Struthio camelus: one gene and its partners. The protein of the gene in region 1 purifies or fractionates together with the protein of each later gene. This does not show direct contact. Links are inferred from orthologs where the notes say so. Each region holds a gene or a part of one and is shown in the gene's direction. Other genes may lie near its edges. The genes, in order: CTNNB1, FBXW2, CTNNA2 and ERBB2.

Region 1 (7,967 bases):
GTTTGTGGCTAGTTTTTCTGCAAGGCTGGCTGAACACAATGATTGCAATTGCTTTAAATTAGGAATACAAAACCCATAATCATTAAGAGACTGGCACATAGAGAGATTTTAAATGAAAACTTAGGTGCTGTGTAATACCTGATAATGACAAAATTTGAAAAAGGAACAATATTGTGGATTTCTGTTTCTCTTCCTCATGCAACAAATGTTACATATAAGCCATCCAGATACTTATTCATTTAGTTAGTAACAATTAAAATATATGTATTTGGTAGATGCAGTGCTTCATCTTGATGCTGTCCCACTGTGTCTGCTGCTTAATCTGCCAGCAATCAGATATTCTGATGAGTAATGCCTCAGCTGCTAAATCAGCTGGAAACTTTTCAGTTTCTGAAACATACCTGGTATATAAAGTTAAACTGCTACAGGCATTCACATGTACTGAATAAAAGAGAGAAACACTGCAATATATGCAATATATTGCATATATTCAAAACTGAAACAGCAAATAAAAGAATAATTTTGTTTTTAATCAGACTTTTGGCCAATTACAATTTTAATTCTGACATTTGGAACAACATTGGCAGAGTACTCCAATTTATCTCATTCCCACCAGTTAACAAGATGTTTTGATCAGTATCTTCTATACTAATTTATTAATAATTGTTACTGTCTCACTTTCACTCAAAATGACTGCAAGCTACACACTAGCATAATTTTATTCCATAATTTTTTGAGAAAAATCAAATCTCACCAGTGTTTTGGAATCTGGCAAATTCTCTCCCTCTTTGTCCCTAAAGAACACGTATTTTACTAAAATTGAGCCTGAGTGGCATAGCTATGTGCTTCAACATAGCAAAGTTTCTGACTTGTATTAATAAACTGTAGTTCTTAAGCATGCAGCAGAAGTTACATTGATTAGTCTTGTATCTCAAAGAATGCTTAAATACTGCTACCATCTCCTTTATTTCACCCTTCATTCCTGTATAAAAGTGCAAATACATGACTTATTAAATACATTACAACTTTTCTGTGCTGGAAGAAGATTTTTTTTTGAGAGGATCAGAATGATTTGGTTTGCTGCGGACAAGTGAATATTTATTTAGTCAGTGTCTTTAAAAATGTGTAATTGATTCTCAAATATGTTCCCAGATTATGCACAGTTAGAAGCCAATTATGCATATGTTTTTAAGATCCATATGGGAAATCAAAGATTCAGGCCCAGAGCCTTAGATGTTTCCGTAATTGGTGATTTTGCTTTGTCCTTATATTAGTGCCATTGCTACTCGTTTGTTACTATGTTCCCTAAAAACACAGCTACATGCCATAATTTCAGAAGGAAAGGTGACCAACCAAGTTTACCTTTAGCTGTTTGTTATTTTTAATTAATGGGCTTCCTGCTTTCTACGGTGTTAAAAGTTGTCTCTGCAAAAGCAGTGCTAAGGATGTTAAAATGAGGCTAACAAAAAGATTTAAATCATTATCTTTTAAAATTTAACCATGAAGCTCTCCTTTGCACTGAGGATTTCTTACTGCAGTGATACACAATGGACATGTTAGAATACTGCTTGACCTTTTGAAAAAAATATGTCTGCGGCATAGTCATCTAGCAAATAGTCACCAAAACAAACCTATTAAAGCATAAAAGAGCTCCAAAGAAACTTCTGAAGCGGCATATACAGAGTGGATGCTTCTTGGGGGAAAAAAAAAGAAAAGTAGAAGAAGAAAAATAACTGGATTTTTGTGAATTCATTCATGGAAGCCCTGCACTGTAATATCCAATATAACATTCACTCTTCTCGCTTTGACACTGGACCATTTCACAGTGTATTTTAGAAAATTTAGAAACATGAAATGTATTTTAGAAACATTTTGTAATTGAAATAATAGTATTATAAGTCAGAGTTCATCCTAATTGCAACATTTCCAGCTATTAAGGTATTTAGCTTTCCTAGGGTAGTCTTTTTAAAAAGGTGATACTTTAGAAAATGATTAGGTACCTAATAGCTAAAAATTGCAAAGCTAAAATGAACCTAATTTCTATTAGCATCATGTCTAGATCCAAAAGCATCCTAACCACTCTGCAATGAAACAAATATAGTTTAAAATTACAACAAACCACGCAAGAGTAAAACAACTCAAAATCAACAAGAGCCTACCATTATGTGCTAAAGGCCTTATGAAATTCATATAAATATATATAAAAAAAAAAAGTTGTATGTTTTAAACCTGTTTGTAAATGGGCTAGTTCCAGCAGTCCTCATCAGGTGAAAAAAAGCAGTCCATACTTCAGGGGCCAGAAGCAAAGACACAGGCTGTACCCCTCCTGCTTCTGCAAAATCCAGGCTCCAAAAGCCCCATCCTTGCAGACCTCAGGGGGTGGGATGGCACACAAAGAGGCTCTGAAAGGTATCTGGGACCATGCAACGCATCAAGGGCGTTTGACTGATTCTACTGTTGTTATCAAGTACCCAATGGAATTGCTGATGGTGAATTTGGCAATAATACCCTATAGAAACAGCACTTTGAACTTATATAGCACCTTTGATCCAGGGATCTAAGAGGAGAGGTCTGTCATTATTATTATCCCCATTTTACAGAGGGTGAAACCAAGGCAGACATGATTTTCCCAAGGTTGTACAGGAAAGCAGCTGAGAAAGGGAGGTGCACAAAGAACGTAGCTCTTCCCCCCACATCTTTTTTTTTTTTTTTTAAATGCACCAAACCAATCTCCAAGCACGCTTTCTCAGATTCGTAAAAGCAGAATCAAAGTTTTTGTGTCAAGGATGGCAAGGTCTGCCGCTCACAGCAGCACGCTCCTGCGCCATGCAAACACACCCTGCAATTCCCCTGGAAGCTGATCAGCGTTTGCCGCCTGCAGGCCCTGATCCGGCAGCATTTGCTTTGCCTACTCTGGCTGCACAGTTCTCCTCCTTCTTGCCCTCCTTTCAGCCAGTGTAGCCAACGTGGGCAACCGTCCTAACAGGAAATGGTATGACAAGGAAAGCTGTATTCCTTGACCCTCTAACTTCAAGTGTATCCCAGACGTACTTCATCCTAGTGAGGGCGTGAGGTCGCCCAGTGCACCAGGAGGCTGGTGGGTGGTAGATTGCTGCATGTCCTGCAAAGGCAGAGAAGAGTGGAGAGCAACCAAGGAGTTTGGGGTATTTTTAGTTTTTGGGGGGGGGAGTTGGTTTGTTTTTGCGTGTGTGGCTTTTTTTAAGCACTGCTGCCTTCCCAGTGCTTAAACCGCACTGCTTCACTAGTGACAGCTCCTCTGGCTCTGGGACCCCTGCATCAGTCCCACTGGGCCACAGCCTCATGTGGTTGCCCCATGCCAGGCCAGGCAGGCAGGTACCCCAAAACTCTCCCAGGTGCTGCAGTGGACCAGGGTATTTTGTGTGCAGCAAGCCCTACACCTTTATTTTATTTTACTTTTTGAGCAGGGAGAAATCCCATGTTCAAAAAGTGCTGGTGCAATAAAGCAGTTGATGTGAAAATCAGGTAGCACTGTCAAAGAAGTCCTTTAGCCTAAGACTACTACACATTACATTACTAAATAAATCAACAAATAGGGGGAAAAAAACTTTTAAAAGTGTAACTTTCTGAGCCTATTTAAAAGAGTATTATCTTTGGAAAAGCAAGCACACAGGCGGCCTCTCTGTGAACCATGCATCTCCCCAGCGCAAGAGCCACAGCAGCTAGAGGATGGTGGGGAAGGAGAGGCTGCGTGAAGCCCTCCAGCACGAGACCAAGTATTCAATCCCCACCATCCCCTAGTGCCAAAGCAAATCTATACTGAGAGGGGAAAAAATAATCCATCTTTCACTATAAAACATCTTTCATGTTTTATATAAACACGTTGGTATATACACTCCTTGTTTCATGCAGCGGTGCACTTTCGGGGGTATGTTAAACAGGCTTTGCCTGTGCAAGACGGCACAGGCAAGAAGTCTGTAAAACGTTTTGCTGCGCAAGCCCGCGGACGCCGAGGAAGAGGCAGCCACATACGTGCCTTCACAAGGCTCCGCACGCCGCGAAAAACCTTGTGCAATTCATAATATTTTCCTGTTTTTACCACTCACTGAAGAGACGAGGGGTGGGCGGAGGACCGGTGGGGGGGGGGAGAGGGAAGGGAAGGAAAACCTGCTTCTTCCATAGAAAATAAATAAATTGCATAACGAGATACTTTCTTTGGCAACTGCTTCCTGACAAATATTTATAAGGGCAGAGCGGAGCGCGTTTCCGCCGACGTGAGCGGGCCCCGCCGCCCCTGTCCCCGGGCTCGCCCCAGCGGCCGCAACGGCCCCAACGGCCGCAGCGGCCGCGCGGCCCGGGGCGGGCAGCAGCTGCGCCGGCGGCCGGAGCCGAGCGAGAGGCCGGTTTTAAGGCGTTAACGCGGCCCGCGAGTCCTCCGCAGTCGGCGACGAGCCTTGGGGAAAACCGCAGAGTTTCCCCTCTAGTTGGCGGCGTGCGCACCCCCCGAAATTTAAATAAATCAGTGAATAAATAAAACCCACTCCCAGAGGCCAAGTGGAAGCGGGCTCTCGCACCCCCCACCCCACCCCCCGCGCATGCCTCGTCCCAAAAAATTCGCACTGTTTTGCCCTGAGGGAAGGGGACCCCCAGGCTAATCCCCTCAGCTCCTCCACCACCACCGCTCGCCGCCGCCGCTGCCTCTCCCCCGCCTTCAGGCAGCAACTTCGCTCGCAGCCTTAAGCTCGCTCCTTTCTTCCCCCACCGCCGCCGGGGTACGCTGCCCCCCGCCCGACCCTCTGGCCCCGGCCCCGCCGCAGCCACCCTGCCTCCCCCCGCCCCGCCGCGCCGCCGCCGCCGCCGCCGCCGCCGCTGCTGCCGCCGCCGCCTCCCCCCCTGCTCGCGGCCGCTTCCCTCCGCTACTGCTCTCTGTCTCCCTCCGCCCTGGGAGCCGGGCACTATTTCTCCTCCCCCCTGCTCTGTGCGCTGGGCGCCTGTGGAATGCTGCGCGCTGGGCCCGGCCGCGGCGGCAGGATACAGCCGAGCCCGGCGCTCACTATAAGAACCTCCTTGTGAGCGACGCCATTTTAAGCCTCTCGCTCGGTAACGGCGGTGGGAGCAGCAGCGGCGCTTGGGCGAAGGGGGACTAACACCGCCGCCGCCCCGCACGGCTGCTACCCGGGAGGCAGCGGCGGGGGTGCTGCCGCCGCCAGCAAAGAGTCGAGCGAGGAGGAAGGGCGGGGGGGGGGCGGGGAAGAGAAAAAGGAAGGAAAGACGGACGGGACCGGGATCGCCCGGGCAGCAGCAGCCGGAGCCCGGGGGGACCCTGCGCTCTCGCCCCCCTGCGACAACGTTAGTGCCACTTTCTGCGGCGGGAACTTGGGGTGAGCCCCTGCCGGCCACCCTCCTCCTTTCCCCCCCCCCCCCCCCCGATGGCCGCCGGGGCGGGCGCCGCGTCCGGTGGCCGTTGGGGGGTCCGGGGTGTGCCGGGCGCTGAGGCGGGAAGGGCGCGGGGCTGGGGGTGGGGGGCGCTGCTTGGGTGGGAGAGAGGCGGGTGGCCGCGGGAGGTGGGGGGTTGGGGAGCGAGGGAAGGAGGACAGGAAAGGAGGAGAGGGCTCTTGTTTTGGGAGGTCCGGACAGCTGCGTGGCCGCAGGAGGCGGCAGCTGCAGCTTCCCGAGGTGTCTCTTGGGAAGCTCGTCCTGGGCCGAGGGGGTAGTTGAAGGGGTCTGTGGGAGGGGGCGAGACTCTGCGATGCGGGTCTGTGTGCGTCTGTGCTCCCCGCTGGGTTTGCGGTCGAGGCCGGAGTAGTTTCGTACCGATTTTTTCTCCTTTTTTTTCTTCCTCTTTTTTTGAGGGGAGGGGAAGGAGGGAATGCTGACTCGCCAGTGGGCTCCAGACCACAGCAGTGACCGGGGAGAGGAGGGGGAAGAGAGCAGGGGACGGATTTATCTGTACCTTGTATAATTAACTAACCACGGTCACTGCAGTCAGAGGTAGATAACTAATCTGTTGACTTGTAGGTTTTCTGTCGTAGTTGCATGCGTGTTTGTTGGAGAGGTTGTGCTCCTTCTGGATGTCTTCGAAATGAAGCTCCCTGAAGCTAGGAGCAATCAAATTAAGTTTTTAACACCCACATTACCAGAGTCTTGCAGAGGATGACTTAAGCGATGTAGGGGCTCCCCTGTTGAAGGGGGAAGCGCCTACTCTTCGTGGCCGACCGGGGGGGGGGGGGGGGGAAGGCCCTCCAGCGACCCAAACCAAAGCAGTTCTGAGCTGTGTGAAGCAACTTGCTCTTACTGTTGATGGAAACTTATTTCTGACTCTATGGAACAAGGAGCTTCAGATGTATTTTTCCCCAGCGGCTTAGTTGAGCTGTCTTTTGTGCATGATGGGTTCCTCTTGGGGCAGTTTGATTTCTTAAAAATCTAGCAAAATCTTAAACTCTGATCTAACTAAAACTTGGTATAAGACCTCTTGCAGTTTCTTTTTGAATCGATTGCTTCTGGGAAGAGGTGTTCTTGGTACAGTTTTGGGAAGAAAACACAGGCTATGGAGGCAATATCAGCAATTTGTGACTGTGAATAGCAATGTTAATCTTTGCAATCAGCTACTTTTTCTTGATCTCTTTCTCATGGAGCAGCCATTGTTCTGACACTCTGTATATTCCAGACATCTGTGGTCCTCCCATCCCCCAAAGTATGCAAGTGGTGAATGGAAAGAGGCTGGGCTGGTATGCTGAGGTCGATGGAAGGAAATCAAGGAGGGGTTTTAGTAAAACAGGATCTTTGTGCTGAGAATATAGTAAAGGCATAGAGTAGAAACTTACCTGAAAGAGAGCAGGATGTTCTTGATCCTAAGTTCAAGCACACTGGAGAGCAACTTTATCAGTTATGACTTTGCTCTTGATTGGCAAAGCTGTTACTGCGAATCTTTAAAACAGCACAAAAGGCAAATTCACTGGTGTCCACTGAGCCAGGTAATAATGTGAATTTCAAGTAACTGACCACTCCAGGAACCTAATGTTAATCTTGCGCTTTCACCTTTTTTATTAAAAGGTGCTGACAGCTGTAGGTATCATCTGACTGTCAGTTGCACGATCGCTGGTACTGTTGAAAATAAGGCTACTTAGATGTTCAGACAAGGCTTTGAGTCTCTAAATTCAGCTATTGTATACAGAATCATATTAAATGTCTTGCTATTTTAGGGGTCATTCTACAGAACTGTCCTCTTTGCTTGGCTATAAGTTCAGATAACTTGTATTTAGGTGTAAACTGATATGCTTGGGAGTGTTCGTGTTGGTCTGTGGCTGCTTCCTAGGGTATCAGGGAGAAGTGTAAAAACATGCCAAACAAAAGGATAGTATAAAATAGATTGTAAAAGCAAGGGTTTAATTCAGGGTAAGGCTTAATCCAAAAGTCAGCTAGTTCTTAACGTTCAATGTTGTTACATCCTCAGTAAACAATTTTTTTTTTCTTGCCTGAGTAACAAATACGTTGTCCTTCTTGCTTGATATGTAGTTTGCTATTTGTGCTATGGCTACATAATGTGTCAGTAAATGGTTTATCAAATCTTAGCCCTGAAACTTAGTTGCCTTTCAAATGGAAGGTTTTCTTTGTAAAATGTATCCATTAGTCTTTCATGACTTAGCATTCCCGAAAGCTCATATCTAACCCTTCAGAAAATAATTTCTGATGAAAAGAGATAAAAATGAGTAATACTGCTGATCTTCTAAACTAATTTGGGGGTATTTTGAGGTGTGGAGAGGACAGGCAGCAAGAGTGAGACAGGAGAGGCAGCTATTGTAAGCTTTAGCATTGTAAACTGAAGTCTGAATGTGCAATGTAAAACTCGTGCATGAAGTTGTTTTTGCAAAATATGGTCTAGTATCTAGACTAGTGTGCAAATACAGCAGTAATCAAAATCATTCATGCTAATTCAAAGTTAAAGCTGGTAACACAGGGGTTGTGATGATTGTGCAGTTGGTTGCAGC
Region 2 (8,048 bases), on another chromosome or scaffold:
TGGCCTGTAGATTGAAGGGTTCTTGAACTCTGAGAAACTCAATCCCTGTTAAAAAGATTAAACAGTAATTCAATGAAAAATTCAGTCCTTTAAAGAACAAAGAACTTCCTCAGAAGATTTCAGCCTGTTCAAAACCAGTAAGTTCATCTTTAGCCTAAATGCCCCCCTCCTAAATGCCTCGGTAGTAACATAGTTTACATTTGAACTATCCGAGGACTCCATAAAATCATTTTTTTCTCTTTTTGTCAAGTTCTAGAGACAGTAATTGAGCCACAGTACTGGCAGAGTATATGGACGTATCCTTTGAAAACAAAGTGGTGAATTTAAAAGTCCATGAACGTGAAATTAGATTTCTTCAACTTCTCTGGCACCTTCTTATCTGCCATTATTAAAATAAACCTTTGTAGAGAAAGCTAACATGAATGAATTCATGGCTTACAGACTAGACATGCCTGTTTAAGGAGGCTGTTAAATTTTAACATCTCATTACAAGGGACTAAATTATGCTATTACAGAGATGCAAGAGGACATGTTTGTACAACAGAAAAAAAACTAGGAAATTAGGGTTGGGTGTTGAACAGTCTATAAAATTGTTAAATAAAGTGGAAAAACTAGATAGCTATCACAGAAAATTAAGAACAAGATCATGAGCCTGACTGCTACTCGTGCACATCTATGGCAGTCAATGGCGATAGTAGTTACAGCTGAGAGGTAAGGATTCTTCCAATCTTATTTGCTTCGTAAGTAAGAATTTGGCTGAGGGAATGCGTTTGGACAACCATTTGTAGAAAAGGCCATCAAACTAAGCTATGGTAAAACTCTTAATTACACTACACTTTCATATACTGTCTCCATACACAAAGTTTTTACTGTATATCAGATTCTCATCACCTCCTCCTCAACATTAGCTTCAATCTGCCTACATTCCCATTCATGATCCACATGTGGTCCCCGAAGAAACCGTAAAGAAGCTATGGCTTCTGAACGTTTGTTCTGATTCAGCAGAAATCTTGGTGTTTCAGGCATGAAGGACATGAACAAAAGCATTATGCAGGATGGGAAAGAACACAACACTGCCAGCCAGCGCCATTTTAGTGTTATTCCTGGACAACAAAAAGGAAACAAAGAGGACTATAAACATCCACTGTACAGACAAATTAACATATACTTTCAATTCCTTAGTGTAGTTCTTTTATTACAAGTACTAATTCTTCACTGCAATCTAGAGCCCTAACCCCAATACCTGCAATGTAGGCTCCCAGTATGCCAGTCACCACCATCAGTTGAACACAAGAGCCAAGCATACCACGAACTTTAGGATGAGATACTTCAGAAATATACACCTAAAACACAGGGAGAAAATACCTAATAATTATTCCTATCCAATTTTAGAGCAAGGATTTGAAGAGTAATTCATTTCTGGAAAATATGGGTGTATTTTCCAGTAACTCTTCCCCTCAAAAAAAGTCTCAATAAAATGGAGTAAGTAGAGAAGTACCATCTCAGAAATTCATATCTCCATAATGAAAAACCCTGGAAAGAAGGGAAGCCCTGAAACACAAGAATGCTGATGATGTTTGGTAAACTGCAGTATCAGCATCTCAGAAATGAAAACAATCTTGCAATCTTAAGGACTTACTTTGTTGGCCATAATCAACAAGAAACACATCCTCACAAAGTGGCCTGGTGTTTGGAGCAGTCTTTGCATAGACACATAACCTGAGCCACAGATAAAATTCTTTGCAAATAAAAGTTTGAAAATTTTAATTCAACATAAAGAGCACAAATTATTTCATCTTCCATGAAGGCCCAAATTATCAGCTCTTGTCCAACTACACATTACACAAATAACATCACATCTCATCCGATATTTGAGATAACTTAAACTGCTCAGCTATTTTTTTACATTGATCTCAAGTCCACAGTTACAGCTTAGCTGAATACATGAAAGAGAAATCCCTCCTATCTAGGCATACAGTTCTTCACAAAGTTACAGCTCTTACTTTTTTTCAGATGGAAAACAAGCAACTCTTAGTTCAAAAATTATTTCAAACTAAAATCACAGGGTGTTAAGACATCACACTCCCCTCCCTCATCACTGTAGTCATAAATTTTTTCCTGTTGGCTGCAGGTTAAATCCTTTACATAAGTGAAAACAAAGAGAAAGCAGATGGAACTCTTCCAAAGACACTAATGCACCAGACTAAGAAAGCATATTTTCAACAATAAGTAAGCTACACAGGATTACCAATCTAAATATTTATAAAAATAAAACTAAAAAAAGATTTGAGGGAGGAGGTCCTAAATGATAAAGAATTAGCATTTATTCAACAGTGCGTTAGGAGTTTATCCTTTGATTTTTAGTAGGCATATCACTTCAAGAGCTGGAAATGCTGGACCCACCAGAAAGGAAACAAATGCAAATGTTAGGTGGTTTATTTCATACTGCCACCTATTCAGTTAGATACACATGTCAAATAATACCAGAGAAGGAAGATAACAAAAGGGCATGAATTCTTTCCGTTTCCCTACTGTACAAATATTTCTGAATGCAAGGGAGAAGTTAATGTTCAGAAGGCAAGAGCTGAATCAGAATTCACTGCTTGGCATTGCGCTAGAATGAGACAGCGGCCATAATTTATTTGGCAAACCTAAGAAGTCTGGTGAAATACAAGATATCTTCAGACTACTAGAAGCAGATGGTGATAGCAAAAAACCCTCCCAAAATTCTAATGCTACGTGTGTATGCGTGTGTGTGTGTGTGTGTGTGTGTGTATGCGTGCGCGTGGGCATGTGTGCGCGTGCATGCCTGCGCGTGGGCGTGCGTATATATATGAGGCATTTGGAGAGAAAAATGAATTACTAGACAATAACAAAACAGAAACACTCAGATAAGGAAAAAAGGATTAAAAAAATGAAAGATCACATCACTGTATTATGAATGCATACTGGAATGCATCTAGCGGCAAATGCCACTAGAAGAGACAAAACTTATTTTGCTTGTTTTTAATAAAAATATGAATAAAACAACATGAGATTTTTTTTTTAAATCAGCTTCTTCTAAATCCACAAATTGCATTGGTTACAGTTGCTCAGTTATTTCATCCAAGCCGCTAAGAAATGACAAAAAAAAAAAAAACCCACTCCAACCCAGCATCCTCCCCAAAACACACAGAAAATATGCTAAGCAGAAAAGATGCCTTACTCACCGGAACAACAAGTGAAGTAATTCCACTGGCCAAGCCGGTCAATATTCTTCCAAAATAAAGCATCCAAATATTCTGAGCAGAAATAATAACTATATATCCAGAAACATATGGTATCGAGCACAGCATTAGACTCAGTTTTCTCCCAACTTTATCCACAAGATAGCCTCCCAGTATTCCTCCAGCAGCAGCTCCTAATGTTACTACAGACTTCAGAAGATAAGTTTAAAAAACAAACAAACATATTATATGTATGTGTGTGTTTGTATATCAGACTCCAATTTCTTGAAATATTTTAGAAATTAAATAGCAGCTTCTAAACAAAATATGCAAGTACATAGAGGTGTTTAAAAAAAAAAACAGTTAACATTAACTTCTTTATCAAAACATAGTCCAGAATTACTCCTCACCACAAATGAGCAGCACATAATTTTTAGATTAAATACAAAGACCTTTCATTGAAGAAGAAAAAATTCAGTATTTCTTTTTATCCATCTAAAATGCCATCTGTTCAACTAGCTCTTCAAAATGTTTTAAAGCCCTGGAGAAGTTACAGTCTTAACTAACCTGAAGTTCAGCCTGCATCCAAAAAGCAGGTATTCCCTATGTTGATGGATGGCACCTAATTTATGAAAAAGTTTATCCTCTGTGGTCCCTTAACAGCTACAACTGAGAAAGCTGAGAATTGTGAGAAGACATTTTAGCACCAAAAAGGAGTTCAGTGAATAGGGCCATCTTTTAGTACATGCTGAGAGTCACCAAAGAATAATATCATTGCTATCCAGAAAAGATTTGAACCAACCACTGAGTTTAGGGAGAAAAAAATTAAAAAAAAAAGTCTAGGCTTCATTAGTAACGTTTGCATTTATCATCCTCCTAAAGGAAAGTAAGACCCTGCCATATAAACAACATCTTCTGGACCTACACCTTCAACTGAAGTCACTTAACGGTGAAGAATCCTACAGAGACTTACCCCAAACCACGACGCTTGATTACCGTCCAGTCTTAGTCTAGGATCGTCGGCTTTACTCAGCTCTGGAATAACAGGTGAGCTATAGCCTAGCACGAAGCCAAAGCTAAGAGGTCCCAAGACAGCAGCGAAGGTGGCGAGATACAGCTTCTTGTTCTGCACTCTGAGGCGGGAGAGGCCGAGAAGGATCGCGCCGCCCCGCGTCCAGCCCCGGCGCCCCCGCGCGACGCCCCCGCCCCCCGGGGGCCCGAGCCCCGCGCAAGCCGGCGCCCGCCGGCCCCAGCGGCGCGGGAGGCCGCCGCCGAGCCGCGGGGGCGGCAGCGCCCAGGCAGGCTTAGCAGAGGGCCCGGCCCAGGGCTCGCCTCAGCGGCCTGGCGGCCGCCGAGCCCCTGCGCATCCCGCGCCGCCCCCGAGTCCGCCCGAGCGGCGGGCGGCGGCGCCCGCGCTCACCTCGGGTACGCGCCCGGCACGGGGCGGCCGAGCAGCCACCGGGACTCCTCCGCCGCCATGTCCCGCCCGCAGGAAGCACGTCAGCGCGGGCGCCCCTGCTGCGGGGCGGCGCGGCCGAGGGGCCCGGCCCGGGCGCGGCGGGCAGAGGCGGCGCGGCGCGGCGCGGCCAGCCTCCAGCCGGACGGAAGCGGCCCGCGCGTGGCAGCTGGGAGCGATGACGCCAGAGGCGAGCGCCGGAAGCTGCGGGCGCGGAGAGCCGCGGGTGCTGGCAGCGCCTTCCCTGCGGTGCCGGCCGGTTCAGCGGGGCCCGGCCGCGGCGCGAGCCTCGCCTCGCCCCGCCCCGCCCGCCCGAGGGCGGCCGCAGGGCCGCGGTGAGGGCCGCGGAAGTGGCCGGAGCCCATCCTTCTGCTGCGGGAGCGATGGCCCCGGGGGCGCCCGGGCCCCTGCCGGGCCGCGGGGAGCCGCGCGAGCCGCCTGCCGAGGGACGCCCCGCGCCCGGCCGCCACCTGAGGTGAGCCCGCGGGACTGGGCCGAGCGGCGCCGGCAGCCCCCCGCGCTTTCTGCGTGCGGAGGCGGATGGCGGCGGCGGGGCACCCGCGCGGGCAGCGCGGAGCGTCGGTTCCGGCCGTTGCTTTCCGCATTCGCTCCGCGCATCGCGTACAACAAACGCCCTAGATCTCATTTAATTCTTATCAGTAGGGAAACGGTTAGAGGTTTGTTTGGTCCTAAGAGAATACATGCCTGTTAGAATAGCGAAAGTATCCTTTGTCATGCGTGCTGGGGAAAGCCGGTAAGAGCCGTCCGTTAAAGTTACTGTGTGAACTCACGCCTTGATAGGAATAGCTGTCTATATGCACTTTACACCCAGTACCTTCTTGTTTTTAGCAACAGCTGCTGTTTCTCCGCATACCACAGGCAGCCTTTCACAGTGAGGACTGTGCTTCCCTGTACTATGACTCCATATTTTTAAGAGGTGTATTTTAAAGTCTTATTCGATGAAGATAAAATGCCTGTATAAAAATAAACATGTTATTGACTCCCACTCAGATTCTTCAATTCTTTGGATTTGGGAGCTGTATACTGAATTCAGCCAGTTGTCTAATGGATGGAATTAGCTCTTCCAGAGAAAATAATTAATTATGGCTTTTTAACTGTTTGCCCAATATTTATCTTGTTAATCGTTTATTCAAACTTACTGCAGGAACTAGAGATGCCCCGATGTAGTATAAATGCACATAGTTAAAGAGGTAGTTTTTAAACCCGCAATTTCATAGTTAATTCTGTTCACTGGAAATAAACCTAGAAGATAGGAAACAATTAAAAAAGAAGTGTCAAAACTGATATTATACCAGTGCAATTTACAATAGCCAAATAGTTGGCTAACACATAACTTCATCCCAATTCCTGAGAAATCTCTTTGTATCTTTTTTTAAAACCGCACAGTTACCTACTTTGTATAGGGCAAATGCATGGAGTAAGTTCTGTTAGTAAGTAGCCTCTCATCACCCTATCTGTATGATTTGTTTCCTTCCATATCAATGTTATCCGTGGGTAAACTGTAAGACAATGTTTATTTGCCATAAGTTTAAAACTTGAACCAACCCTGACCTTATTGAATTCAGAATTTGAAAGTGTTAACCTAGAACAAGAAGGATGTTAACATCCATAGTGAATGCTAACATGTACTGGCTCCATACAACTCATATCTAAGTCTGATGTGGGACATCTAATAGTTCAAAGTATTTGCAAATGCTTAGTACTAACCTACTGAATATTTTAAGATGTGTTTGGTCATTTCAGTCCATGTGTTAACATGCAGTTTGGAATATTGATGTACCAGCAATAAAGATGTGATGCTTATCTTGTTTTCTGAACAGAACTAATACAGTATTTTGATGTATCACAGGTAAATTTTTCCATAACCTTATGGAGAAAAAGGACTTTGAAGCATGGCTTGATAACATTTCTATTACATTTCTTTCTCTGACGGACTTGCAGAAAAATGAAACTCTGGATCACCTGATTAGCTTGAGTGGAGCAGTCCAGCTCAGGCACCTCTCCAATAATCTAGAGATTCTTCTCAAGAGGGACTTCCTCAAACTTCTTCCGCTGGAACTTAGTTTTTACCTATTAAAATGGCTCGATCCTCAGACCTTACTCACATGTTGCCTCGTCTCTAAGCAGTGGAATAAGGTTATAAGTGCCTGTACAGAGGTGTGGCAGACTGCATGTAAGAATTTAGGTTGGCAAATAGACGACTCTGTTCAGGACCCTCTACATTGGAAGAAGGTTTACCTAAAGGCTATTTTAAGGATGAAGCAACTGAAGGACCACGAAGCCTTTGAGACATCCTCTTTAATTGGACACAGTGCCAGAGTATATGCACTTTACTATAAAGATGGACTTCTGTGTACAGGTACGAAGTTCAGAAAACTTGGAGTCTTACAATTCTTCTTTTGTCTTTTTTCCCCATGAGATTAGTGACAATTTGAGTTTCCTTAACCAGGCAAGTTATTTTCACAGTGCTGGTGATTAAGGTTTTCAAAATTACTATTTTTGCAATTTCTGAAACACCTGGCACACTAAAAAGCTAACTGGTCACTTCAATAGAAAGACCAAAGAGACTTATTTCTTTCTTTTTTTTTTCTTTTTTTTTTTTTAAATCAATAAAAAGGCCAACAGTGCTGCATATAATTCTTCAGAACAGTAAGCCCATTTGAGAAGTACAGATATGTTAGCTATCCTCTTAGAGGATACCTTCTTCAGATTAAAGGGACCTTGTTTGGACTATCTGATCACTGCAGCCTCCGAAACATGGCAGGAAAATTCTGTTGTCTTCTTCCCAGCATGACAATTTCTGTGGTATGATCTGTAAACTCTTTCAATTCTTAATATAATGTAAAAGCATGTATGAAGACTTGTGAACTAGATCTAGCCTTGCTACTCATCTGAATTACACATTGTAAGAATGATTTCAACTTCCTTCCTAAAAACTGCAGACTCCTAGATTACAGTTTGACTTTAGGAATACAGCCAGACCAAATATGAAACCTTAAGTAAGAAAGAATAGTGACAAAGTTACAGTGAACTGTTGCCAGAGCATATTCCAAGGAATTCCTAACTATGGCACTTGAGACAACAGTGCTATAGAATAAGCTGGGAGTACTGAGTAGTACTCCCACATTTGTGGGTACATTAAGAAGATTGTGAGAAACTAGGAACTAGTCTCCAACAAGTCTTTTGCTTCCCTAGTAGTCAGCAGGGAGTGAAAAATACTCAGGAGGTGGCATTGTCAAACCTTACTGAAAAACAGCTCCCTCTTTTATGCTGAAACCACATGTTGTAGAGAAAAACATGTGAAAGAGTCTAGGGTTTATTCTGCTCTACAAAGCAAGCAGGCTTTGAGTTATGGTTATGCATTA
Region 3 (7,113 bases), on another chromosome or scaffold:
TACAGAGCTCATAAGGCACTGTGTTTCCTCCTGTACATCTATCTCCCTGGTTGATCATATCACCATTACAGATCTAGGTCCTATATTAATGCCTTTCAACAACGATCCTATTAATTTGCCTAATGGCCATTCATGTAGATAAGGACTTCTAAATGTAAGTGAGAATTTTAGTGGTGACTGCTTAGCAGGTACAGCTGGAGCCAAATTAAGAAATATATAAGCATATGCTTATAACGTACCTTATATATATAAAAGAAATTTAAGAATGTGTTCCACTTTTATTTCTCTGTTCTCAGCATCTCTCTCAACTTCAGAGGTCATCCACCAACAGCACAGGTGCCAAAAATGCTGCTGGGCAGGTTCTGAATGGCACATGATAGAGTCCTGAGTGAAGGCCTCATCAAAAGGCAACACACAAGCAGCTGAGACTCCTGGACTGCTCTGTGGAGATGCAATATATCCCCAAGCCAGCAATTGACTGCACCTTGCCTTTTTCAGAAAAAGTGTGTTTGAGCTTCTACTACATTTCTACTGATACACCTTACCTCTAATCTATGAAAGAGAAATGAAGTGCTTGCATGCCATCCTTGCCAATCCCTAGTTAGTTTATTATTCTGTTGCTTATATGGGGCAGACTCACATTCCTGCCATACAGGCTGAGGGAGGGATGTTTTGTAGCTCCTCAGTATGAAGAGGAAGGTAAGTCAGATCAGGCCAACTGTGGGGGTGGAGGCAGTATTGAATAAAAGGGTTTGAAGGCACAACTCTTGAAGTGCAACCTCCAGCCTGAAAGAGATCAGCTGGGTCCAGCTGGGCTGTGTAAGTGTGGCCACCCTAGGGAGAGCCCAGTCTGGCAGCCCAGAAGCTTCTACAGGTTTTATGGCTACTGGTCTAGCAGTCCAGAAGCCATAAAAGCTCAGCTGCAGGTTCATCAAGCATGTGGTGGAGTTAAGGCTGTGGGATGCCACCTGCTGCAAGAACCCTGACTCTCCAAAGGGCCTTTTGATCAAGCCAGATAGCTGCACACCTATGACTGGTGCGTGATTATGCGTATTTATGGGTCTTCAAGTGGGTGTTTTCCTCCTAATTCTGCACACCTCCCTTCTCGTTCAATCAGATACACTCTCAGTAAAGCTAAATTGAATGCATCTTGTATCTGACTAGTTACTCTTTTGAGTAACTACATATTGCAGAAGTCAATCTGCATGACAATCTGCATGACAATCTTTCATAAAGGAGGGTTAAACTGCCAACAGGGGCCAGGTTCACTAAGTATAAAGCATGCCTTGTTTGTATTTATTTATAGCTCTTGTTCTAAATAGTCTTATTTTCTCTGTATATAGAAAATATTTGGGTTCTATATTCTGGCAGACAGTTCCACAGTTTGGCATAGCATTTAAAAAAAGCACACACGTGCAAAGAAAATCCATGCATGTTTCATTTACGTCGAATGGTCTTTCTGTGTGTCTTCCTGATCAACCTGCCCAACAGTCCTAATGCTTTGGTGATGTCTCTTCTCTATATGTTGCTGAATGCTGTCGCTGGGAGATCCCATGGCAGTTGGAAGCGTTAGGAGTTCTCAGTTGGCCTCCCTTGGCTGGTAAGAGCCACATTCATTTATAGAGCAGCTTAGCAGCATATCTCAGTTTTTAGGTGAATAGTGGTAACAAAATCAGTTTTTTTTCCTTTTCTTTGAGACCATTACAAGTGATAAAAGAAATAATAACGGTAGTTTCCGACAGTTAATATCCTAAAGGAAGAAGTAAATGTCTAAATAGTGGACAGAGCTCTCTTTCAGGGCCTTGGGGAGGGGGAAAAGTTTGTACAGCTCTTCCAGATTTTCAGACTTCTTTATCACATTCAGGCAGACCTCTTAGCAACAGGCCAGCAATCCACATCTCTGTCTTAGATAAAAATAATCTGGACCAGGTAAATAACCTGATTTGTTTCTCACACAATGATACACTTTAAACAGAAATATGCCTAGATTTTTTAATGCGTCCTTTGGTTCAAATTTGCAAGAGATGTATGCATCTTATTTCGTGGGGAGAGGAGAGGTTATATCACTTTTCATAATTAGGTGTTATTTATGATTTGTAGTTCTTATATGTTCTCTACAGCAAGTTCATGTCAATTAAATGCCTGGAGAAACACTTAGTTCCCATTGCAATTACTGATGTAATGCATTGTGATAAAGGAGTAGTTTACTATATTCTATGTGGGCAACTTTGCTTGTTGCTATTTATATTCAAAATATGCTAGCTCTTCACAGCATAAAGTAAGGCACTGTCCCTACCTAGAAGAAGTAGCAATCTGAAAGACAAGGCTACAGGAATGAAGGCTAGAAGAAGGTCAGTAAGTAAAGTTTTGCTAATATCACATGGCTCGATTCACTAGCATGGCAAAGATGAAACAGTACCTAGAAAAGTAATTTGATGCAACTTGCAAGCCTACTAAAGACACAAACTAAATGCACAGCTTGCAGCAATAATTTGCATATCATCCTAAAGGGTAGGTCAGCCTAGCATGGTCTCTGTGTATGCATACTCTTTGTCACATCATTTGCATGCACAATAGATTGTGTTTCTGTTTTAAATGATACTGTCAGAAGGCTTAAATAATTCAAAGTACTTCTGTAAACTACTGACTGCAACTACTTACATGTGTTATATGACCATATGAAGTATAAGCCATGATGCATCTCATGTTGTGATTCACATTTAAAATGAGTTCCTGCCTAAGAAATCATTTTCCCTGCTGTGGACTCTTCCAAGGACTCTGTTGTTGTGCCTTGGTGGAGGGAATTGGGGTTCCAAGACAGCTCCCATCCTCATTTAATCATCGTAAAAAAGCGAAGGTAGACCCTGACAGCATCTCTCTCCAGCTGAGGGCGAGAGAAGAAAAAACTGGCAGCTGCTGCCTCTTCGTGAGGCCCGACAGATATTCCTGTACTGGTAACATCATTCCCTACAGGCAGCGGGAGAGGAATTATTTTGGTAAATCCCATCCAAACCTAAAACAGGCAAGGAAAAACCTGGACGGCCTCATACCCCCTCCCTTCCTCGCTGCCCATGAGCTCATGCCTAAGTAGGAGAAGCAGATGGCTCCAAGAGCAGCGGATTCGTGGAGCGACAGCGCGTAAGGAGAGTTCACACCACCTCAAAACGGCCCAGTCCCTCCAACAGGACGCAGCCAACAGGACTCGGCAGCCCCAGGGACCGACGGCGGGGCGGTTTTGGAGCACGCACCGTACCTGAGGAACGGCAGAAGGCGGCGATGCCATCGAGGGCAGCGACAAACAGCTTGAGCTTGGTAAGCGCAGTAAGGCCGCTGAGGAAAGGGAGGAATGAAAACATACTGAGCCTTGACCGCCAGGACAAAACCTGGTGTTCGGTGCACGGCATTTGGGGCTGCACGCGTTTGGGGCTGTCACAAGCGACCGAAGTTTCTACAGCTGAAGAGAAGCGGAGGACCAACGCTCTCGCGCCCTGCTGTCGTTAACGCTAGAGCGGTTACCTTTTCTCAGCGTGCGGGAAGGGGGGGAGCAGGGATTTCAAGAAATCCTCGAGCTAAACCCCACGTGGCTCCGCTCCCAGCTCCTCGCACCGTCCCCAAAACCCCCAAGAGCAGCCCCGCGCCCCTCCGCCCTGCCTCGCCGCCGACGCAAGATGGACACGCCGCTGCGCGGCCGCGCTACTTACCCTGCGGTGTCCCTGGGGCCAGGCCATGACCCGGGCCGGGCTCCCTCTGCCCTGGGCTCCTCTCCAGCCCGCCCCGGAGGGCTCGGCCGGCCGCTGCTCACCCCTCGGCTCCCCCCTACGCGGCCTGGCGCCAGCCCCGCCGCCCCTCACCTCGCCTCGCACCGCACCCCGGCCTCCGCCGGCTAACGCCGTCTCCGTACTCACGGCACCTGCGCACAGCGCCGGCGGTAAAGGCCTCCCCCCCCCCACGCCCCGCCACCCCCTCAGCGGGCAGCTCCCCGCGCCCGCCCGCCCGGCGGCGGCAACAGCGGCGGCGGCGGCGCAGGCGCGCTGCCTCCTCCCCTAGTGGCTGCCGCTGGGAGCCTGGCAGCCGCCGCGGCAGCTCCCGGGTCCCCTCAGAGCCGAGCGAGCGAGCGCGGCTCGGGCCGGCGGCGGGGGCCGGGCGCTGTGTGAGGGAGCCGCGCCGCGCCTCGCGCCCAGCCCGTCTGTAACGGTCGCTGCCGAGGAGGCGGCGGCGGCGGCGGCGATTCTGCCACCCCCACCCACCGTGCTGAGGTGAGGCCAGGGCAAAGCATCCTCCTTTCTTCCCCTCATCCTCCCCTCCCGCTCGCCCCTTTCCCCCTCCCGCCTCGCCGAGCTCCTTCCTTTCATCCTCCGTCCCTTATCCTCCTTCCCCCGCCTTTATCTCGCCTTCCCCTCATCCTTCCTCGCGCTTCCTGGTCCTCCTTTCCTTTCTTCTCTCCTTAGCCACCTTTTCTCCCCTCCTCCCCATCCCCCAGACTCCTTCTCCCCCCTGCCCACGTTTCCCACCCACCAGAAATCATAATCATCCGCTCTTTCTCTCTCTCTCTCTGTCTTTTTTTTTTTTTTTTTCCTTTTAACCGCAATTTTAATTTTCGTCCGGCGGAAGAGGGAGAGTCGGTCACAGACAGAGATAATCCCCCTTCTTCAAAGAATGGATTTGAATTAATGGTCATGTTGTGGTGTGCGTATGATGGGAAGAGGGGGATTATATTTAGGGAGAGAAAAGGCAGGGTCAGAGGGGTGTTGCTTCGCTTATCCATTTTTTTTACCTCGCATGGCTTCGAGGCGAAAGGCAGCTCCGTGCTGTTTTCCTAGTCTGGCTCTTTTTATTCTCCTTTCTTCAGGCACCGGAGGTTTCTTTCTCGCTCTTTATCCATCCGCTGTGTGCCTCCGTAATTCAGAGCCGCCGCTCCGGTCGTCCCTGCGCGGAGCCGCTGGGAAGGGGGTCGAGGAGAGGCGGTGCGTGTGGGCAGGGGGTGCTGAGGGCTCGGGGAAAGCAGCTTTTTACAGCCCTTCTCTTTAGGCCTCTTCCAATTTCCGAGACGCTTCAAACCACCCGCTTAATATTTGGGTCCGGAGTCCAGCCCGAAAGGTCCCGGGTCCTGTCAAAGGGGTTTGCTCTGGCGGTGGCGAATTAAAGTTCGTGGGGTCTAAAATACAGCTTTATGTTTATGGGGAGCGCGCAGGAAATATCGGAAAGATTCGTGAAGGTTTGGCTAAAAGGCGACCGCGGGTGTCTCGTGCCTGGCCGCAGAGCTGGCTTTTGGGGTGGAAGAAGTTTTGCTTAAACATGGTGGTGGTGGGAAGAGCGTTTGTGCTTTACCTATCGCAAGACTTCAGCTGCTTCGCCTGTTTGGGAGTTTGTGTTGCGTGAAGTGTAGCGCTGGATATGATCTGGGGACTACCAATCTCTAAAGGGTACTTGAAAGTAACTTTTACACGTTTACGGTGATATGTAGCATCAGGAATATGTAACACGCACCTGCTCCTCAGTATGTCGAAGGGGTGAATGCATTCACTCCTGTCTTGCTGGTTGTATGTGATGTCTGTTTTTAAGGTGCTGTTCAGCACTTAAAAAGCTCTGTGTGGATGCTGGGTTCCCCCCCCCCCCCCCCTTCTCCTCTTCATCAGCTATGTAGTAGCAGAACATTTACAGCTTCAGACAATTTCATCCTTTTCAAGCTTGCGTTTACTGAACTAGGAGAAGTTTATTTGTACTTTGTCAGGAGAAATGTGTTTCAAAACCCCTGCTATTTTCTAAATTTATAGGTAATATAGCAGCCAATACTGTAGCAAAACTCTCTTGGTCTGAATAATATAAAACCCTGCACGTTATGCACTATCTTGGCATGTGCTTCCTAAGAAATGTTGCTTCTATCAACTTGTCAAGATTACAGGAAAAACTGTGTGTTTTGGAGTGGATGGTAGATACGTAACGTAAATAAGAGCAGACTTAAATGAGGTTGCTAATGAGAACAACAGCTCTTAGAGGCTTTGTGGCTATTTAAATGCTTCTGTTTTTCTTTTTTTACGTACAATTTTTATGATTAATACTATATGTTGTATCAGGTTTTTTATATTCCAGTTTAAACAGAATTCTCTCTAGAAGAGTGAAAGTGCTGACCTGAAGGATGAACTTTTACAGTTAATTATGAAATCATTGTTTAGGGACTACTATAGAAATAATACTGCTTCAACTGCGTATAAGATATTTGTAATTCCATTGATGGGTTTTGTTGATGACAAAAGCCTCAACAGGAAAGCTCCAGAGGCTTGTCAGTGTTACTTGAGCCCTTATATGGAAATACAACCCTAATTTATGTATACTGTTGAAAGCTCTTTTTTAATATTAAAACTGAATGTGTATGGTACTACTGAAATGCCTTTGAAAACCAAGAGCGTTCACAGACTGAGACTTTAAAGCCAAAGGAAATAATCAGCTCTTCTTCTACTGTGACTTTTTGACCATTATAGTCTACTGGATTTTGTCCAGTTACTTTTAAATGCAATAACTTGTATTTGGCTGAAACATATTTTCCAGAAAAAAATGGAATTTTGATTGGGTGGAGAATCTACTATTTATAAAATTATTTGGCCTCAGCGTCCAGTTACTGGTTATTGCTGTCTTTCTCCACTCTGCTAAAGAACTCGGAGTATTCTTTTACCCTGGATGCAATTATCTGCTGTAACCTAGTAATCTTTCTCTTTGTCTTAATAAAAACACAAACGGACTTAGATCCTTTAAATTTGTCACTGGGGTGTTTTCCTCACAATTTCATTGTTGTGGCTTTTTTTCCAAATCCACTTCCACGTTTTCAACATTTTTGTAGAAATATGAACTGGATGCAGTATTCCAATATCTTGTCTCATCAGTGTTTTGTGAATTTAAAAATTACCTCTAGTGTAACTCTTCTGTTTATATATTACATTTACATATTAACCCTTCTGTCACAGCAGCACATTTTGATTTCATTTTCAGTGATCATGCTCATTGTGACAAATCTTTTCAGGACTATTCCTTTCCACAAGAGTTCATTTTTCTGTAGGCTGGTGTGCATTTCTTGTTTGTAGCTTTATAACTTTGTGTTTATTTAAGATTATTCTGTTT
Region 4 (7,802 bases), on another chromosome or scaffold:
CCCTGCAATAGCCCCAGAGGTATTCAAGGTCCCCGTGAGAAGGGAGAGACGACGTGGGCTAAGAGGGGACCCCTGAAGGCAGCAGGGAGGAAGCAGGGAATGGCTTCTTGCCACTGTCCTGCCCTCCCCGGGCAAAGCGTCACAGCACAGGCGCCTGCGGCAGCAGGGAAGGTGCCATGCGGCTCACCCAGGCGAAGGTGATGCACGTGTGGTACATGGGCGAGGAAGGCGGGACGGAGGCTTTGTAGCGGTGCAGCATCACAAAGCTGGCGAGGCCATTGAGGAAGGAGGCGAAGGCAGACGCGGGCTCCTGGAAGAACAGGAAGCGAGAGAAGGGCCACTAGAACAAAAAAGAGGAGGGAGACGGACGACAGAGACGTTAGCGGTGTGGATCGCACTATTCCGCTGGCCACGGCTCTCAGCAGCTGCTGGCACAGGCCTCGCAGACGTGGGAGCCGGGCTCTGGCTGGGGATCAGCACCCCCATCGCGGGGGGCCCCCCCCATGGGACTCAGGCCCTGATGCTGGAGCGGCCCCGAGGCGTCTCGAGCACGCCTGGCGCCGCGGGAAGAGGGAGCCCCTGGGTGGTGCAGCGGCTGAAGGCACGGGATGGGGGAGGACAGCCTGGTGCGCGGGGCGGCCCCGGGCCTCGGGGGCACGTTTCCCGCATGCGCGCACGGCGCTGGGCGCCGGCCCGGCTCACCTTGCCGTGGAACTGAGGCACTTTGTAGCCGCCCTGGACGTAGACCTGCACCGTGAGCCACATGCACTCGTACTTGCAGTCGTCTCGGCAGGTCCAGCCTGCAGCGGCGGGAGAGGAGCTGGCGGCCAGCACAGGCCTCCGAGGACGGGGAAGGGTCCCTCGGGGGCTCAGCCCTTCCCGGGTACCCCGTCCCCAGTCACAGAGCCCCCTCCAGTCAATCCCAGTGCAGACACCGGTGTGACCGTTAGGCAGCGCAGCCTGACCACCACCGCAGCTGGGGGCTCTGGGGCCCAGCTCGAGGCAAGGAGAAGCCCACTGGGGGTTGCCCTGCCCAGTTGGGGAGATCCCCACTGTCTTGGGCACAGGCAGGGGCAATGTCCAGGCTCCAGTCTTCCCCAGTATGCTCCAGTGCCCCCCAGCAAAGCCCAGCACAGCCCAGTGCCCCCCAGCATACCCCAGTGCCTCCTCAGTATAGCCCAGTGCACCCCAGCATGGTGCTGCACCCACCAGTAGCACTCAATGTCTTTCCACAATGGTTCAGCACTGCCCTGCAGTCCCCAGCACAGCCCCAGCATGGCAGAGCACCCCCTAGCATGGCCCCAGTAAGGCCCAGTGACGCCCAGCATGCCCCTAGTATGGCCCAGCAAACCTCGGCACGGCCCAGCGTCCCCCAGTATCCCCCCAGCATGGCCCAGTGTTCCCCAGCATGGTGCCAGGATGGCCCAATGACCTCCAGCACGGCCCAGTGCCCCCCAGCACGGCCCAGTGACCCTCAGCATGCTTCCAGGATGGCCCAGTGTCCCTCAGCATGGCCTAGTGTCCCCCCAGTATGGCCCAGTGACCCCCAGCATGCCCCCAGTATGGCCTAGTGTCCCTCAGCATGGCCCAGTGTCCCCCCAGCATGGCCCAGTGAGCCCCAGCATGCCCCCAGTATGGCCTAGTGTCCCTCAGCATGGCCCAGTGTCCCCCCAGCATGGCCCAGTGAGCCCCAGCATGCTTCCAGGATGGTCCAGTGCCCTCCAGCATGGCCCAGTGACCCCCAGTATGCCTCCAGGATGGCCCAGTGTCCCCTAGTGTCCCCCCAGTATGGCCCAGTGACCCCCAGCATGCCCCCAGTATGGCCTAGTGTCCCTCAGCATGGCCCACTGTCCCCCAGTGTCCCCCCAGTATGGCCCAGTGACCCCCAGCATGCTTCCAGGATGGCCTAATGACCTCCAGCATGGGCCAGTGCCCTCCAGCATGGCCCAGTGACCCCCAGCATGCTTCCAGGACGGCCCAGTGACCTCCAGCATGGCCCAATGACCCCCAGCATGCCCCTAGTATGGCCTAGTGTCCCCCAGTATGGCCCAACGACCTCCAGTATGGCCCAGTGATCCTCTAGTACGGCCCGGTGGGGCCCCACAGCCCCGAGGCCGCTCGCCCGCCCCGTGCGAGGGAGGGGGCGGAGCTTCCGAGGGGCGGGACCTCGGCAGGAGGCGTGGCCTCGCCGCGCCCAGCCAATGGGTGCGCGGGGCGGGCCCGGCCGTACCTGTGAGGCTCATGTAGAGCGGCTGGCGGGCGCGGAAGTGCCGCAGCGCCGCCCCGGAGCAGTTGCGCCGCTCGCAGCTGGCCAGGCAGTCCCGGTACAGCGGCTCCCGGTCGCCCTGCGAGCCGCGAGCCGGGCCTGGCGCCGCCGCCGCCCCCAGCAGCAGCAGGAGCGCGGCCCGAGCGGCCCCCCGAGCCGCCATGGCCGCCCGGCCCCGCCGTTTCCGGCCGCTGCCCCGGAAATGGCGTAGTGCCGCGGAGCACCACGGGATATAGCGCCCCCTCCCCAATGGCGCCGCGGAGCACCACGGGATATAGCCCCCCCCCAAAATGGCTGGGGAGTATAAGGGATATAGCGCCCCGCGTTGGCCGGGGAGGATCACGGGATATAGCGCCCCACTGTGGCCGCGGAGGATCACGGGATATAGCGCCCACCGCAACGGCTGGGGCCATCAGGGGTTATAGCGCCCCCCGATGGCCGTGGAGGATCACGGGATATAGCGCCCCACTGTGGCCGCGGAGGATCACGGGATATAGCGCCCACCGCAACGGCCGGGGGCATCAGGGGTTATAGCGCCCCGCGATGGCCGCGGAGGATCACGGGATATACCGCCCCACTGGGGCCGCGGAGGATCACGGGATATAGCGCTCCGCCGGGGGGGGGGGTCACAGGGCCGGGGTCAGCGCCATGGCCGGCCCCAGGGCCTGGTGGCTCCCGCCGCCCCCTCGTGCCCCAGACGGTCCCGGGTTGGGGACAGGCGTCAGCTCCAGGCCACCTCGGCAGAGACCCACCACCTGCTGCCAGGCTGTCCCCCTGTCCCCATGCCCTAGGACTGGCCCCACACCCCAGGGCTGTCCCCATAGCCTCGGATTGTCCCCCTGTCCCCAGAACTGTCCCCACGTCCTAGGACTGTCCCCACATCCTAGGATTGTCCCCATGCCCCAGGACTGTCCCCATAGCCCAGCACTGTCCCCCTACCCCAGGAATGTCCCCATGCCCCAGGGTTGTCCCCCTGTCCCCATACCCCAAGGCTATCCCTGTGTCCCCATGTCCTAGCATTGTCCCCCTACCCCAGGCCTGTCCCCATACTCCAGCACTGTCCCCGTGTCCCCACACCCCAGCACTGTCCCCCCGCCCCAGCACTGTCCCCCTGCCCCAGCACTGTCCCCGTGTCCCCCCGCCCCAGCACTGTCCCCACACCCCAGGAATGTCCCCATGCCCCAGCACTGTCCCCGTGTCCCCCTGCCCCAGCACTGTCCCCCCACCCCAGCGCTGTCCCCATGTCCCTACACCTCAGCACTGTCCCCCCACCCCAGCGCTGTCCCCATGTCCCCACACCCCAGCACTGTCCCCACACCCCAGCGCTGTCCCCGTGTCCCCACACCCCAGCACTGTCCCCCTGCCCCAGCGCTGTCCCTGTACCCCAGCACTGTCCCCGTGTCCCCCCGCCCCAGCACTGTGCTCCTGCCCCAGCACTGTCCCTGTACCCCAGCACTGTCCCCGTGTCTCCCTGCCCCAGGGCTGTCCCCGTGTCCCCACACCCCAGCACTGTCCCCATACCCCAGCGCTGTCCCCGTGTCCCCCTGCCCCAGCGCTGTCCCCGTGTCCCCACACCCCAGCACTGTCCCCATACCCCAGCGCTGTCCCCGTGTCCCCCTGCCCCAGCGCTGTCCCTGTACCCCAGCACTGTCCCCCTGCCCCAGCGCTGCCCCCATGTCCCCACACCCCAGCACTGTCCCCCTGCCCCAGCGCTGTCCCCATGTCCCCGTACCCCAGCACTGTCCCCGTACCCCAGCACTGTCCCCGTGTCCCCCTGCCCCAGCGCTGTCCTCCCGCCCCAGCATTGTCCCTGTACCCCAGCACTGTCCCCGTGTCCCCCTGCCCCAGCGCTGTCCCCGTACCCCAGCACTGTCCCCGTGTCCCCCTGCCCCAGCGCTGTCCTCCCGCCCCAGCATTGTCCCTGTACCCCAGCACTGTCCCCGTGTCCCCCTGCCCCAGCGCTGTCCCCGTGTCCGCACACCCCAGCACTGTCCCCGTACCCCAGCGCTGTCCCCGTGTCCCCACACCCCAGCACTGTCCCCCTGCCCCAGCGCTGTCCCCGTGTCCGCACACCCCAGCACTGTCCCCGTACCCCAGCGCTGTCCCCGTGTCCCCACACCCCAGCACTGTCCCCACACCCCAGCACTGTCCCCGTACCCCAGCGCTGTCCCCGTGTCCCCCCGCCCCAGCACTGTCCCCCTGCCCCAGCGCTGTCCCCGTACCCCAGCACTGTCCCCGTGTCCCCACACCCCAGCACTGTCCCCCTGCCCCAGCGCTGTCCCTGTACCCCAGCACTGTCCCCGTACCCCAGCGCTGTCCCCGTGTCCCCCCGCCCCACGACCGCCCCCCCAGCGCCCCGCGGTGCCCCCCGCGCTCTCCCCCCGCCCCCCCAGGAGCGCCCGGGCCGGGGGCGACGCCGGCGGTGGCAGCGGCGGTGCCCGGGGCAGCGGCGGCGGGAGCGCGCGCGGGGGCGGCGGCGGGAGCGCGCGGCGCGGCCCCGCGAGGCGGAGCCCGGGAGCGCGGCGGGAGGAGGCGGCGGCGGCGGCGGCGGCGGCGGCGGCGGCGGCGGCGGCTCCGCGCCGCAAACTTTGGCGGAGCGGCCGGCGCGGGGGCCATGGGCCGCGGCCCGCGCTGAGCACCATGATCGCCGCCGGCGGCTGCTACCTCGGCACCGGGCTGCTCCTGGCCGCCCTCTGCCCCGCCGCCGCCGCCGAAGGTGGGTGCGCCGCTGCCGGGGCCGCCGGGGACACCGGGGACACCGGGCCGGGGCCGGGTCCCCCCCCCCTCCCTCCCCTCCCTCCGCCGGCGGCAGCCGGACTCGGCGCAAAGTTGAGCGCGGGGCGCGATCGGGGGCGGCTCGGGGTGGGGGGGGGGGTGTCGCGGCAGGGTGTCCCGGGGGGGGGACAAGGGGGGTCCCGTCGAGCCTGGGGGGGGGGCAAGGGGGTCCCGCTGATCCCGGGGGGGGGCAAAGGGGGTCCCGTCGAGCCCCGGGGGGGGCAAGGGGGTCCCGCTGATCCCGGGAGGGGGGGGCAAAGGGGGTCCCGTCGAGCCCCGGGGGGGGCAAAGGGGTCCCGCTGATCCCGGGGGGGGGCAAAGGGGGTCCCGTCGAGCCCCGGGGGGGGCAAGGGGGTCCCGCTGATCCCGGGGGGGGGGGAAGGGGGTCCCGTCGAGCCCCGGGGGGGGCAAGGGGGGGATCCCACCAAGCTCGGGATGGGGGGGGGACAAGGGGGTCCCGCTGATCCCAGGAGTTGGGGGACAAGGGGGGTCCCACCGAGCCCCGGGGGGGGGAGACAAGGGGGTCCCACTGAGCCCGAAAAGGGGGACAAGGGGGTCCCGTCGAGCCTGGGGGGGACAAGGGGGATCCTGCTGATCCCAAGAGCTGGGGGGCAAGGGGGGTCCCGCCGAGCCCAGAGTTGGGGGGGGTGAAGGGGAGCAGAGACGGGGTAAGGAGCACCCCCCCCCCCAGCCAAAGGAGGGGGGTCCCGGGGCGGGGGGCGCGAGGGGAGGTTGAGGCCGGGGGGGGGGTTCTCGTCGCCGCCCCGGGGCCGACGTCGCCCCGCGCCGTACGGCCAGACCCGCCACCCCGGCGGGAAACGCCGGCCGCCCCTCGACGCCGCGGGGCACGCGGACCGGGGCCGGCGGCGACGGGGACGGGACCCGCTCGCCGGCAGGCGTCGACGGCACCCGCCGGCCCTTGGCACCCCCCCCCCCCCCCCCCGGCGCGGCGCCCGCCCCAGACCTTGAGCTTCGGACCCGACGCTCGCTGCCAGGCGGCGCGGGGAGGAGGGACGAGATGGCGGCCGTGTCGTCCCCCCCCCCCCCCCCCAACAGGGCAGCTGCCGGGCCACCGGGCCGCTGTCACTCAGCCGCCGGCCGCTCGTCCGGCCTCCCCTCCCCGCTCGGCCTCCGCCGCCCTCCGGCCCTGCCTCGGTTTCCCCGCGGCGTCCAGGCCGCGCCGTGGGCCGCCCCCCCCCCTGCCTCCCCACCATCCAACCCCCGTTGTCCCTAGCAGACGGATGCCATGCCGGGCCGCCGGCCTGGCCCCCACCGAGCGGCCTCGACGGGGAAACCGAGGCCCCCGGCGGCGGGATGGCGGCGGCCCGGCCCGCCCCTGCGTCAGCCGCTCGCTCCCCAAACATGCCCGACCTGAAAAGGCGGTTCCTGCCGGGGCGAGCCGCGCCGCCGCCGCCGGCCGCGGGGGCCCCGTGCCACCCCGCCGGCCGTGACTCAGCCGCCCGGCCCAGGGCGGGCACCCGTGGCACGACGGCGCCAGTTCTCAGCTCACCACCCCCCCCCCCCCAAAACCGGTGCTGCTGTTTTTGCCCGGGGAGGGGGTGTGTTGGGGGGGGGGGGTGTCCCCAAGCAGTGTCCCCACCGCGAGCCCCACGGCCGGAGTGGACACCCTGCTCGCTCCGGGAGGGGGCCGGAGGCCGCCGGCGGGGCCGGCCGGGGGCTCCCGGCATCCGCCGCCGCTCAACAATCGGGTCTTGTCTCGGCGCTCCCCCCTCCCCGGCCGGCGTGGGCAGAGCCTTCCCGCTCCCGCCCGGCCCCGGCGAATCCCGGCGTTGGCGGGAACGTCGGCCCGGGGAGCCCCGCGGCTCCCCGACGCCTGCCCCAGGCTGGCCCCCGCCGCCCCGCTCCCACCTCCCCGGACCGGTTCCCCAGCCCGGCTCGGCCCCGGTGGGGTGCTGGGTCCCCCCCCCCCCACCCCGGGGTGCTGTTGTCCCTGGGGTGGGGACGGCCACGCGGGACGGTGGTGGTGGTGGGGGGGGGGGAGCGGCGGTGCCGGAAGCTTATAGGAAGCTGTTGGAAGCGGCTCCGGAGATCGCTGGCGGCGGCGGTGGCCTCCGCGGCATTTCCTGCGGAGGCCGGCGCTGCCGGCTCGCGTTCCCGCCGGTGCCAGCGCCGCGCTGACGTCCCGCTCTGTCCCCGCAGTGTGCACCGGCACCGACATGAAGCTGCTGCGTCCCTCCAGCCCCGAGAGCCACTACGAGACGCTGCGGCACCTCTACCAGGGCTGCCGGGTGGTGCAGGGCAACCTGGAGCTCACCTACCTGGCCCCCGACGCCGACACCGCCTTCCTCCAGGTGAGCGGGTCGGGGACGCCCCGAAGCGGTGGCACGGCCGGGACCCCCCCCCCGCCACTGCCGGGGACCCTCACGCGCCGCCCCTCCGCCCCGCGCAGGACATCAAGGAGGTGCAGGGCTACGTGCTCATCGCGGAGAACCGGGTGAGCCGCCTGGAGCTGCGGAGCCTGCGCATCATCCGGGGCACGCAGCTCTTCGAGGAGCGCTACGCCCTGGCCGTGCTGGGCAACGCCGGCCCCGCCGGCACCCCGGGCCTCGGCCAGCTCGGCATGAGGCACCTCACAGGTGGGCAGCGCGGCGCGGCCTGCTCCCCGGGATGCTTGGGGGGGGCGGTGGTCCCTCTTCGGGGTTGGATGCTCAGGTTGGGTGTCCCCATGGGGCTACCAGTCCCCCCAGCGGTCCCTGCCCGGGGCTGGGTGTCCCCTCTGGTCCCTGCAGAGCTGCTGGTC

Evidence for each region.
Region 2: the proteins of CTNNB1 (region 1) and FBXW2 purify together in Homo sapiens (affinity purification with western blotting; 4 studies listed by BioGRID). This does not show direct contact. The link is inferred for Struthio camelus from reciprocal best matches to the Homo sapiens genes CTNNB1 and FBXW2.
Region 3: the proteins of CTNNB1 (region 1) and CTNNA2 purify together in Homo sapiens (co-immunoprecipitation; 5 studies listed by BioGRID and IntAct, with this or other methods). This does not show direct contact. The link is inferred for Struthio camelus from reciprocal best matches to the Homo sapiens genes CTNNB1 and CTNNA2.
Region 4: the proteins of CTNNB1 (region 1) and ERBB2 purify together in Homo sapiens (affinity purification with western blotting; 3 studies listed by BioGRID). This does not show direct contact. The link is inferred for Struthio camelus from reciprocal best matches to the Homo sapiens genes CTNNB1 and ERBB2.

What each region holds. Positions count from the first base shown.
Region 1 is NC_090943.1:51,348,237-51,356,203, forward strand, and holds the start of CTNNB1 (catenin beta-1), read left to right. Parts: upstream 1-4,964; 5' UTR 4,965-5,360; intron 5,361-7,967. UniProt on the Homo sapiens protein: Key downstream component of the canonical Wnt signaling pathway.
Region 2 is NC_090961.1:188,468-196,515, forward strand, and holds the start of FBXW2 (F-box/WD repeat-containing protein 2), read left to right. Parts: upstream 1-5,020; 5' UTR 5,021-5,137; intron 5,138-6,439; exon of another isoform or gene 6,440-6,532; 5' UTR 6,533-6,552; coding exon 6,553-7,042; intron 7,043-8,048. Other genes in the region: SLC2A8 (solute carrier family 2, facilitated glucose transporter member 8), read right to left, coding at 1-45, 892-1,103, 1,244-1,343, 3,210-3,416, 4,180-4,339, 4,627-4,685. UniProt on the Homo sapiens protein: Substrate-recognition component of the SCF (SKP1-CUL1-F-box protein)-type E3 ubiquitin ligase complex.
Region 3 is NC_090945.1:83,119,095-83,126,207, reverse strand, and holds the start of CTNNA2 (catenin alpha-2), read left to right. Parts: upstream 1-4,088; 5' UTR 4,089-4,256; intron 4,257-4,655; exon of another isoform or gene 4,656-4,670; coding exon of another isoform or gene 4,671-4,686; intron 4,687-4,855; exon of another isoform or gene 4,856-4,964; intron 4,965-7,113. UniProt on the Homo sapiens protein: May function as a linker between cadherin adhesion receptors and the cytoskeleton to regulate cell-cell adhesion and differentiation in the nervous system. Required for proper regulation of cortical neuronal migration and neurite growth.
Region 4 is NC_090966.1:6,625,946-6,633,747, forward strand, and holds the start of ERBB2 (receptor tyrosine-protein kinase erbB-2), read left to right. Parts: upstream 1-4,770; 5' UTR 4,771-4,906; coding exon 4,907-4,982; intron 4,983-7,201; coding exon 7,202-7,353; intron 7,354-7,451; coding exon 7,452-7,638; intron 7,639-7,802. Other genes in the region: PGAP3 (post-GPI attachment to proteins factor 3), read right to left, coding at 188-340, 703-820, 2,231-2,679. UniProt on the Homo sapiens protein: Protein tyrosine kinase that is part of several cell surface receptor complexes, but that apparently needs a coreceptor for ligand binding. Essential component of a neuregulin-receptor complex, although neuregulins do not interact with it alone.